Canis lupus familiaris: one gene and its partners. The protein of the gene in region 2 interacts with the protein of the main gene of each other region in a biochemical or structural test. Links are inferred from orthologs where the notes say so. Each region holds a gene or a part of one and is shown on either strand. Other genes may lie near its edges.

Region 1 (3,848 bases), on a different chromosome or scaffold from region 2:
GGTGGTTTCTAGACAAAGCCCAGGGGGACCCTTCGTGCCCAGGGAGGGGGCAGTGAGGACGTGGGGGGGGGCGTCCACGGCCCGTGACGGGAACGCAGACCCGCAGCTGGAAGGCCCCTGAGGCTGCTCCGGAGGGGTCGGACCCAGAAGGGGAGGGGGCCGCGGTGCCGGGGGTGGGGGGGCAGCAGTCCCCACACTCGAGGTCCCCGCGCCCCCAAGGACGTTCTTACTGTGGCCTGAGTGACGCCGGGTGAGGTGCCCGCATCCCCGGGGTCCCGAGTGGACGTAGAGCCCCGCCGGCCTGCGCCCCTCGCGGCGGCCACCCCCCTGCCCCACAGGTGGCTAACGGGTAGTGACCCTCGAGGATGCCACTTTGTCACCCATGTCCGTTTATCCTCATTTTGCCCCCAGAGCCTGTGGCTCACGCGCATTGTAGAGACGGGGACACGGAGTGCACACGGGTCCAGTCTGCGGCCTGCACGGGTGCAGCAGGCGAGTGGCCACCGCAGGAGAGTCCACACACTGCACCCCCGCGACATGGATGCGCAGAGTACACAGGGGTGCTCAGTAGATGCAGCTGGGGGTACGCCTCCAGGGACTCGGCTGCCCCCACTCCACCCACCAGACCCCCCTCGGGGGCTTACAAGGCTCCAGGGACCTTCAGGGACGAGGGTGGGGGTCGCGCCGGGAGGGGAGGGGCAGGACGGGGCGGGGGGCATGGGGCCCTGGGACCCTGGGGACACCGAGCGCGGGCTCCGGGTGGCAGGGGCATCTGCCCAGCCCGGACAGTGGGGGCCCCACGGTGGCCCCAGCCTGGGCGCCCCCGGATCCGTTGGTGCCTTCCCGAGCCTCGAGCCAGTGGGACGTTGCCTCTTGCGACAGCAGCTGGCGGAGTCCTGGGGGAGGCGGGAAGTGGAGCAGGGGTGGGGGGGATGGGGGAGCGGGCCTGGGGGACTGCCGGCCGCCCTCCTGCTGTGACCTGGGGGGCTGGGGCGAGCTTGCATCTCAGGTGGGGGCCCAGACGCCCTGCCGCCCCCAGGGGACATCGGGGCAGTGCTCGCAGCCCTGGGTAAACCGAGGCAGCCAGGGGTCCCGCCAAGGTCCGTCAGGCGCAGGGTGCCGGACTCAGTGACGTCACAGGACGCCCCTCTGAGCGTGGAGGTGGAGGTCGGCGGCTCGCCCCTGGACGGCCCGTCCTGCGCAGCCCTGGGGACCCGCTCACAGTGACAGCCTGGGAACGTCCCGCCCTCCGGGCCTCCCGCCCCCGCCTCCCCTCACCCCCGGGGGGCACAGGAAGTGGGGACACCTGGCCCCTCCGTGGGGCAACAGCAACGGCCAGCGGGGCCTATAAGAGGGGCGGGGGGCCCGGGGCCGCGACACCGCCACCGCCCGGCCATGACCGCCCGCCGAGTGCCCGCCGGCCCTGCCCTGGGCCCACTGCTGCTGCTGGCCACGCTGCTGCCCGGTGAGTGGGCGCGGCCGCCCGCACCCTCGTCCTCGGTCCCCTGATCTCAGCTGAGCCCGCGAGGAGCCCTGGGGCCCGCGACAGCCACGGGCCGGGGTCCCCCGGCGCTCACCGCCCCCGTGTGTCCTCAGGCCCCGCTCTGGCCTCGGAGATCGTGGGTGGCCGCCCGGCCCAGCCCCATGCATGGCCCTTCATGGTGTCCCTGCAGCGGCGTGGAGGTCACTTCTGTGGTGGGACCCTCATCGCCCCCAACTTCGTCATGTCGGCGGCCCACTGCGTGGATGGCTTGTGAGTGCCCCCGGCTCCCGCCGCCTTCCCTGGAGACTCGTTTGCACCTCTGTGTGATGGGGACACGGTGACACCAGGGCCCCGAGGTCCTCCCAGGGCTGCCCTGTGCCCCCCGTGCTCCCCGTCCCCTCCCTCTGCTCCCGTGTCCTCCCCGTGCCCTCCCCGTGCCCCCCGTGCCCTCCCTGTGCCCCCCCGTGCTCACATTAGTGCACCTCCCCTGCCGGGCCCAGAGGGTGAGGTCCGTGCAGACCCTCCTGGGCTCGGGGGGCACAGCTGAGGCCTGGGGTGTCCCCACCGCCAGGGCCACTTCGAATCACGCCGTCTGTTTGCCGCAGGAACTTCCGGTCAGTGGTGGTGGTGCTGGGGGCGCATGACCTGGGGGAACGCGAGAGCACCAGGCAGTTGTTCGCCGTCCAGCGGGTCTTTGAAAACGGCTTCGACCCCGTCAGGCTGGTGAATGACATCGTGCTCCTGCAGGTGAGCTGGGCAGGGGCGCCTGGGGGTCGGGGCGCTGTCCCTGCCACGTCCCTCCCGGTGCCTCGGCCTCCACCGCTGGACGGGAGGACCCCCTCCCCCCCCGGGGCTCTGGGAACTGAGGTGGCGCCAGAGGCGCTGAGCCGCGGCCCATCAACAAACTTGTAATTCGTGTGGCCGAGCACGTGGACCGGGAGCCTCTAGGATGAAACCCTCCCTCCCCCACCGCTTGCGGAGTTACTATTCCCTGGGAAGGTTCTAGAACAAGGGCTGTCTTGTCATTGCTGCTGCCCACGGTGTGTGCCATCGAGTGCCCACCGTGTGCTGCGTTCAAGGCTCGTCCGGAGATGCTCAGAGCCCCTGTGCTTGCTCCCACTGCGCATCTGGGGAGACTGAGGCCCAGGAGGGGAGGTCATGACCCTGATGCCCCCACCCACCCCCCACAGCTCAACGGCTCGGCCACCATCAACGCCAACGTGCAGGTGGCCAGGCTGCCCGCCCAGAATCAAGGCGTGGGCAACGGCGTGCAGTGCCTGGCCATGGGCTGGGGCCAGCTGGGCACGGCCCAGCCGCCGCCCAGGATCCTGCAGGAGCTCAACGTGACCGTGGTGACCACCCTGTGCCGCCGCTCCAACGTGTGCACGCTGGTGCCACGCCGGCGGGCCGGCATCTGCTTCGTACGTACCCCGGGCCCCCGGGTGCCCTCCCCGCGCCCCCCTCGCGGCCCCCAGCGCCGACACGCGGCCTGCCAACCCCGTCCGTGTCCACAGGGGGACTCCGGGGGGCCCCTGGTCTGCAACGGGCTGATCCAGGGCATCGACTCCTTCATCCGCGGCAGCTGCGCCTCCGGGTTCTTCCCCGACGCCTTCGCCCCCGTCGCTCAGTTCGTGGACTGGATCAACTCCATCATCCGCCGCCCGCCCGCCCTCCCGCCCGCGCGCCCCGGCCAGCAGGACCCCGAACGAGGCGCCGCCCGCGCGCCGCCGCCCGCCCCGCATCGCCCGCGTCCCACCCAATAAAGCCCTCCCTGGTTGTGAGAACGTGTCCGGGTGTTTGTGGCGGCGCGGCTGGGGCGTCTCGTGAGCCTGCTGCCCCCAAGGGCGGCCAATTCAGGGCATCGGGGAAGGGGCGCCGATTGCCGTTCCTGGTTCCCAGGCTCACGGACGGAACCACGGCAGCTGCTGAGGCCTGCGCTGTGGCAGGTGCGCCCCGAGGGCCCCCGGCTGGCCCTCTGTGTCCCCGACAGGTGACGAGGTACAGGTCCAGGCAGGGGTGAAGCCGCACCCGGGAGCCCACGCTGGAGCCCCAGCTCTGTGACCGGTCAACTTCCCTGAGCCCGTTTCCGTTAATTTTTTTTTAAGTTTTTAATTTTGTTTATTTTTTAATTTTAAATTTTCTTTATTTTTTAAAAGATTTTATTTATTTATTCATAAGAGACATACAAAGAGACAGAGAGGTTGAGAGAGGAAGACCGGCAGAGACCCAGGCAGAGGGAGAAGCAGGCTCCGTGCGGGGAGCCCGAGGCGGGACTCGATCCGGGACCCGGGGTCACGCCCTGGGCCAGAGGCAGATGCTCACCCGCCGAGCCCCACAGGCGCCCCCACCCTGAGCCTGTTTCCCT
Region 2 (2,698 bases):
CATACCAGCTGGGGTCTGGGCCAGCATAGGCTTCTGAGACAGATGGAGCAGGAGTTCCAGTCCATTGTTCTCAGGTGTGTGTTCAGCCTCCCTGAGCCCCCACTTCCTCACCTGTGAAGTGGAGTAACACTGCCTGCCCACATTGTAGGTTGACATGTGAGAGAGAGAAAAAAAAGAGAGAGAGAGACCCTTTTAAAGCTTCTAGTGGAGTATCAGCACATGGGCAGTGCTCAATAAAGGGGGGACTTTCCCTCTCTTCGTCTGTAACCAGCTCTGCCTCTCAGTGTCTCCACGTGTACAATGGACTGGGTTGTTCGTTTTCAAACCACCCTAGGTCCTACAGAGGAGCCACTGCAACAGGTGGTTCTCCCCCCCACACCTTCACCTAGGGTGTATATGATACTGTGATCTGAGGTAAGATGTCATGTGAATGGGGTTTCTGCAGCTACTTGAGTATGAGAAGCACTGGGCATGATGATCCCTGGCAAGTGAGACTTCTTAGTCTCTAGGCAGAGCAGCCAGGGAGCAGGAACCTTGGGGGTGGCGGGGGTGGTGGGGAACACCACATCTGGCTGTCTGGGTCAGCCTGCAGAGTGTGTGAGGAAGAGGAGGGCAGAGGCCAGGGACAGAGAGGATGGGTGAAGAAAGAGTGGGCAGGACACAGCCTGGAGGGCAGGAGCAGCACAAAGAGAACAGGTGGGGAGGTGAACAAGACAGTCTGCCCGTCGGGGTGAAAGCGAGAGAAGCTGGACGCTGCTCCAAGGGTCTGCCTTGCCCCCACAGCCCCTCTCAGGAGTCGCTGAGGCCTGTGGCATGCTGCCTTGGGAAACTAACCAACATTGCCATCTCTGCCACAGTGGATGGGCCCAGGGGTCCATGCTCAAGCCAAGAGGACCACATTTAGGCTAGAAGCAAGGGAGGCCTCACCTGAGACCGCTTGGCATAGTACTCTATCCAATCAGAATGTTCCAGCAGGTTACTGACAAATCCATTGCAACCAGATCCTCCCTTCCAAGGAGCACTGTGACAGTCAGATCACGTCTCCCAGGCTCGAGGATGCTGAGGCCTGAGTGGCTCTGTAGCTGTTGGGTGGCTCCTTTGCAGCCTGACCAATCCATGGGCCCTTGTAATAAACCCCTCTGACCAAAAATCATCTGGTTCTCCACTTGAGGCCCCTCCTCATAGACTGCTCCCTGACCACTTTATCTAAAATACCTTCCCCAGGGATCCCTGGGTGGCACAGCGGTTTAGTGCCTGCCTTTGGCCCAGGGCGTGATCCTCGAGACCTGGGATCAAATCCCACGTCGGGCTCCCGGTGCATGGAGCCTGCTTTTCCCTCTGCCTATGTCTCTGCCTCTCTCTCTCTCTCTCTCTCTCTCTCTCTGTGACTATCATAAATAAATAAAAAAAATTAAAAAAAGAACTTCTTTAAAAAAATAAATAAAATAAAATACCTTCCCCTGTCACTAATTGATCACTTTATTTTTTTCCTTCATAGCAGTTATACTATGTGAAATTATTCCATGATTTATGTCTGTCCGTGTACTGTGTGTGTCTTTCCTCCTGAGAGCAGGGACTTGGTCTCCCTTGTGCTAGTGTGTTCTGGTGGCAAATGCCTAATATAGTTTTGTCAAATTCTTGAACTTCAAAGAGCCTGGAACCTCAGTCCCTCTGGATCAGGGCATAATGTGACCTTCCAGAGCCACCTGTCTCAGGGACAAGACTGCAAGGGAGGTGGGGCACACCCCCCTCCACCCCTGTACCTGTCCCACAGCCTGCCCCCCCTGCCCCACCTCCCAGCAGCCAGGCCCAGCCTGGGCAGTCAAGGGTGACCTGTATCTCAGGCTGCTCCAGCAGGAACCAGCGCAGGGGGTACGTGCGGGCGTGCATCATGTCCACTGGCACCGTGAACTGCTCGTTCAGGTGGAAACTGTCTCTCTGGGTGAGGCTTGGATCAAACTTGCTCCTCCAGAAACCTATATCCAGCAGAGGGCAGGGGTCACGTAGACTGGGACAGGGGTGGGTTCCACACCACTAGTCTCTTCTCCATCCCACCCAGAACCCATTCAAGGGACAAAAAGTAGAAGTCAAAAGCCCAAGGGGCACTGTGCCAGTTGATTCCCAGTTGATCTGAGGTTTCTTCCCTGCAGCATTTTTGAAATCTGGGCTTGCATTCTTCCTATGTCCTGTCATGCTCCCAGGAGCACCCCCAACCCCACCCTCAATCCTTTCAGACTCAGTTTCCTCCTAGGGTTCTCTCATCCAGTTCCTGAGGCCCCTCACTGGCACACCATTACCTGTTTCCTACCCTCCCCCAAGCCACAACCTAGAAAGCTCCCTGCCTCCTGACCCAGCCCTGAGGAGAAAGAGAGACCCTCAGAACAAAGGTTTTGCAGCCCAGTTCAGCCTACAAGGCAGGAATAGGGGCCACAGGGGTAGAGGGCCAGAGAAGAGGGGGAACGCACCCTGGAAGTGGATGGCATTGAGCAGAAGCAACACTGTGTCATCTGGCAGCTCTGAGAGGAAATCCTCAATCTTCCCCTCTGTGGCCTCCTTCACCCATTGGTTGATGTTTAGCAGATCATCCCCTTTCCTTCCGGTCAGGCTCATGGGCTTGGCACCAAAGAGCTGTTCTGATTGTTTCAGGAAGTCCTCTTTGATGGGAAATCCTACACAGAAAAGGCCACAAGCTGTTCCT
Region 3 (3,650 bases), on a different chromosome or scaffold from region 2:
TTAAAATTGGTAGGATAAACAAAGAACACGAAACCAATGAAGTTCAAAAAAAACTTAAAGGAAGTACAGAGTTTATTTTCAATAAATGTTATAGATGTGTCACTTATTATTACAGAATCCAACAGTCCACGCACGGGAAACATTTATCCACAATAATACTAAAAAACGTTGAGGTTTGGCAGTAGATGGTATAAGTACAGTGTCTTGATTTGATTACTGTCAATTATTTCTGAGCATGCTAAATTCCCTACCCGTGTTCTGGCTTCTAGGTATGTTGATGAATCACTCTGTCTCCCATCCAACTAATTATTTCTCATTATTCCTTCAATCCAAGTAACAAACCTTGACACACGAACATAGACACCAGGCTTATTGGGACGGGCACAGCCAAGACCCCAAGAAGTGACTCCTTGTAAAATGTACTTGTCCTTCTCGAAGCAAACCAGAGGTCCTCCACTGTCACCCTATACAGAGAGAGAGAAAAAAAGTCCATGTGAGGATTAAACCACCATCCTTTTGTTATGGGATGTCATCCTTCTATTATCCAAGTATAAGTTTCCCCAGCATTTGAACATTCTTTTCCAATTAGAAAGGAACTTACTAATATATTATTTGAATATCTGCTGTGCTTCAGCACCTAACAAAGCATATTTAACACAACCGCACCAGTTTGTGTTGCTGGGGAACAGCTCCCTTGTGAATATGGTACTCACCCCTTCCTGCCTTGGGGCTTCCCTTATGCAGAGTAAATCCAAGAGCAATTTCAAAGGGGGTGTAGTTGGTCTTTGTCTCACACTCTCCCTCACTTCTCTACCAGAAAGGCCATCCACCAGCATACTCTCCAGAAGATGTGGGGGCTGTGGTAGTGATGGTACTCACCTACTCCCTTACAACTGATCTAGAACTCACCAAGAAATCCCCTTAGGTGAGCTCAATCAGAATTCAGAGACAAACCTCAAATGTTTCTGGGTAGCATTTGGACTACGGCCTTCAGTTGACAAAGCCTTCCTGAATTTGCCATTTTGGGGGCTGAAAGATCTAAGAGGCCAAGACAGGACAGCAGAAGATTGACTTTGTTCTTACCTGACAACTGTCTGTGCCTCCAGCCAAATTCCCCGCGCAAAGCTCTGTCGATTTGACTCTTCCATTCAGATACTCATAGCGATTACACACTTTGTTCTCAATCACAGGCAGCTGGGCTTCCTTGAGAAGCCCCGCACCATACGTGCCTGTGTTTAAAAAGATTAAAGAAATGGTTACTGGATCCAAAACATGCCCACAAGGAAAATTCTAGAACAACAGAGCAGCAAGGACAGATCTCTTGGTTGTCCACGAGGTTGTATAAAGCAAGAAGTCAGTTCCTGATACTACCAGAATGTTTTTCATGTTAACCCTTGGAGGTATAGATATATAAAATTTCATGTTCCCAAGATCTGGATTTAATAACCTGAGTTTCTTTACAGTGTTTTGGGGTATCTGTTGTTATTTTTGTTTCTTTTTTTTTAACTATAAAGATACATTTTTCAATAGGAAAGAGACATTGAGAAATACAAGTGTTACCATAACATCTATTCACTTTCAGATGCTTTTTTTTCTTTACTACTTATATCATATAGCACAATTTTATATCCTGTTTTTACACAACAGTATATAATAAGGGCTTTTTTAGAACACTACAATCTTCATAATTAGTATTTTAATGGGCCGGGATCCCTGGGTGGCACAGAGGTTTGGCGCCTGCCTTTGGCCCAGGGCGCGATCCTGGAGACCTGGGATCGAATCCCACGTCAGGCTCCCGGTGCATGGAGCCTGCTTCTCCCTCTGCCTGTGTCTCTGCCTCTCTCTCTCTCTCTCTCTCTCTCTCTCTCTGTGACTATCATAAATAAACAAAAAAATTTTTTAAAAAATGGGCAGTAACTGCTTCAGGGGTGTGGGGTTTCCTTTTGAAGGTCAGGGGAGTGTTCTGCAAACAGTGGTGGTGATTGCACAACATGGCGACTACTATAGGCCACTGACTTATACTCTTCAAACAATTAAAATAGCTAATTTTACATTATATACATACTTGACCACAACATAAAGAATGGCGATCATGTACTAGAATTAACCTTTTCAGGCACAAGTGTGTTAGGTGATGTATCTCATTTAACCCTTGCACAAAATGGATATTTCTGTTCGTTCCTGTCGCACAGAGAAGGTCACCGAGACCGGGAGGGGCCGTGCACTTTGCCCAAGATCACCCAGCAACTAGTTGGAGGAGCTGGGATTTGAAACTAGGTCTGTGACGTCATTGTCCAAGTCTTCACTCCCCTGCTCCTGGGCTCCTACAGCAGCTTCCAACTTTCCACATCTTTGTTCATGCATTTTATTTATATTCCTTAGTATTTTCTTAACACTGTTTTCCCAGGAATTATATAGACATGTTTATGGCTCCCAGTCAACATTGCCTAATTTTTCCTAAAAGGGTATGACAATGTAAAATTTCACTAGAAAAAAAAAAAAAAGGCCACTTTGCTCCATGCTTCTTGAGTATTTAACATTTTTTAAGTACCTGCTAATAAAATAGGTGGAAATTGTCCTAGTTCATGTCCTAATTTGCACTTCTTTTTCCAATCAGGAGGAGTAAACACTGTCTCGTGTGCTTGTTTTACTCGTTGTATTTCTTCTTTTGTGAAAAACTACTTTTTTTTTTTCACGTTGGCAAATCAAAATGGAACACTTGCAAACCTGCCAGAGGAAATGCTGCTTTTCCAGATAGACACACCCGGGCACGTCTCCGTGTTTTCACAAATAAATCAGTTTTCCAATTCTGCAAGGCCAGTTTTAATGCATTTTGCAAAAAAAAAAAAAAAATCTTTGCCAGCATGGAACAGCCAAGAGATGAGGTGCTATTTCTTCTCCAAAGACTTTAAGTACATTTGGATAACTGTCTTGAGTTTGGAAAACTCACACTGGATCCAGAGTTGACAGGAGCACATAAGAGGGAAGGAGAGGCTTGTCCCAGGCCTGGCTGGGCAGAGGCCTGGTGGAGGAAGTGACCAAGGAAACATTGGCTGGGGTGGGGGGGTGCACTACTCGAATTGAGTCTGTATGGAGGGACCAGCCTTCTCAGAATGTTTTGCTGAAAATTAATTTATCCAAACGTCTTGCTCTTGCATCTGCTTTCTGAGCCAGCTACATCCTGATGCTGGTGACAAAATCTACCCCCAGTTGACAGGAAATCGATGTGGTCTGTGTAGAAGTGCTGCCATCTGGTGGCCACAGAGGAGATGGCACTTCTGAGGGCGGGGAGGCTGAAGGTGAACCAAGGAGGAAGCCCTGATTTCAGGGAGAAGTAGGAGCCCTGAAAGCTGATGCGAGGTGAACCCGAATGAGCCCCTGGGCCTGAATGCTTTCCTTGCCTTGAAATATCAAAGTCAGGGAAAGCCTGGAGACCAAAGGGGAGAACAGGAGTGCTCCCACTGAGAAGCTTATTATTGACATCCAAGAAAATCCATTAACAGGCAGGACATCTGCTTGCTGACTCCTCCTGGTCCAGTGCATATACTGAGAATGGTCTCCCAGGGCCGTGAGGGTGAGGCCAGCATAGATGGGGGAGCCTGGCACAGGGTGGTGGTGAGGAAAGCGTGGGTGGTGGGTGGAACAGATGG

The links.
Region 1: of the proteins of SERPINF2 (region 2) and ELANE, one has a biochemical effect on the other in vitro, tested with the Homo sapiens proteins (2 studies listed by BioGRID). The link is inferred for Canis lupus familiaris from reciprocal best matches to the Homo sapiens genes SERPINF2 and ELANE.
Region 3: the proteins of SERPINF2 (region 2) and PLG form a complex in vitro, tested with the Homo sapiens proteins (2 studies listed by BioGRID, with this or other methods). The link is inferred for Canis lupus familiaris from reciprocal best matches to the Homo sapiens genes SERPINF2 and PLG.

The regions. Positions count from the first base shown.
Region 1 is NC_049241.1:58,268,204-58,272,051, reverse strand, and holds ELANE (neutrophil elastase precursor), read left to right. Parts: upstream 1-1,375; 5' UTR 1,376-1,395; coding exon 1,396-1,465; intron 1,466-1,596; coding exon 1,597-1,753; intron 1,754-2,088; coding exon 2,089-2,230; intron 2,231-2,673; coding exon 2,674-2,904; intron 2,905-2,997; coding exon 2,998-3,246; 3' UTR 3,247-3,264; downstream 3,265-3,848. UniProt on the Homo sapiens protein: Serine protease that modifies the functions of natural killer cells, monocytes and granulocytes. Inhibits C5a-dependent neutrophil enzyme release and chemotaxis. Promotes cleavage of GSDMB, thereby inhibiting pyroptosis. Promotes blood coagulation.
Region 2 is NC_049230.1:45,825,103-45,827,800, reverse strand, and holds part of SERPINF2 (alpha-2-antiplasmin), read right to left. Parts: intron 2,670-2,698; coding exon 2,466-2,669; intron 1,977-2,465; coding exon 1,834-1,976; intron 1-1,833.
Region 3 is NC_049222.1:50,051,635-50,055,284, forward strand, and holds the end of PLG (plasminogen precursor), read right to left. Parts: intron 1,230-3,650; coding exon 1,084-1,229; intron 465-1,083; coding exon 303-464; 3' UTR 38-302; downstream 1-37. UniProt on the Homo sapiens protein: Plasmin dissolves the fibrin of blood clots and acts as a proteolytic factor in a variety of other processes including embryonic development, tissue remodeling, tumor invasion, and inflammation. In ovulation, weakens the walls of the Graafian follicle.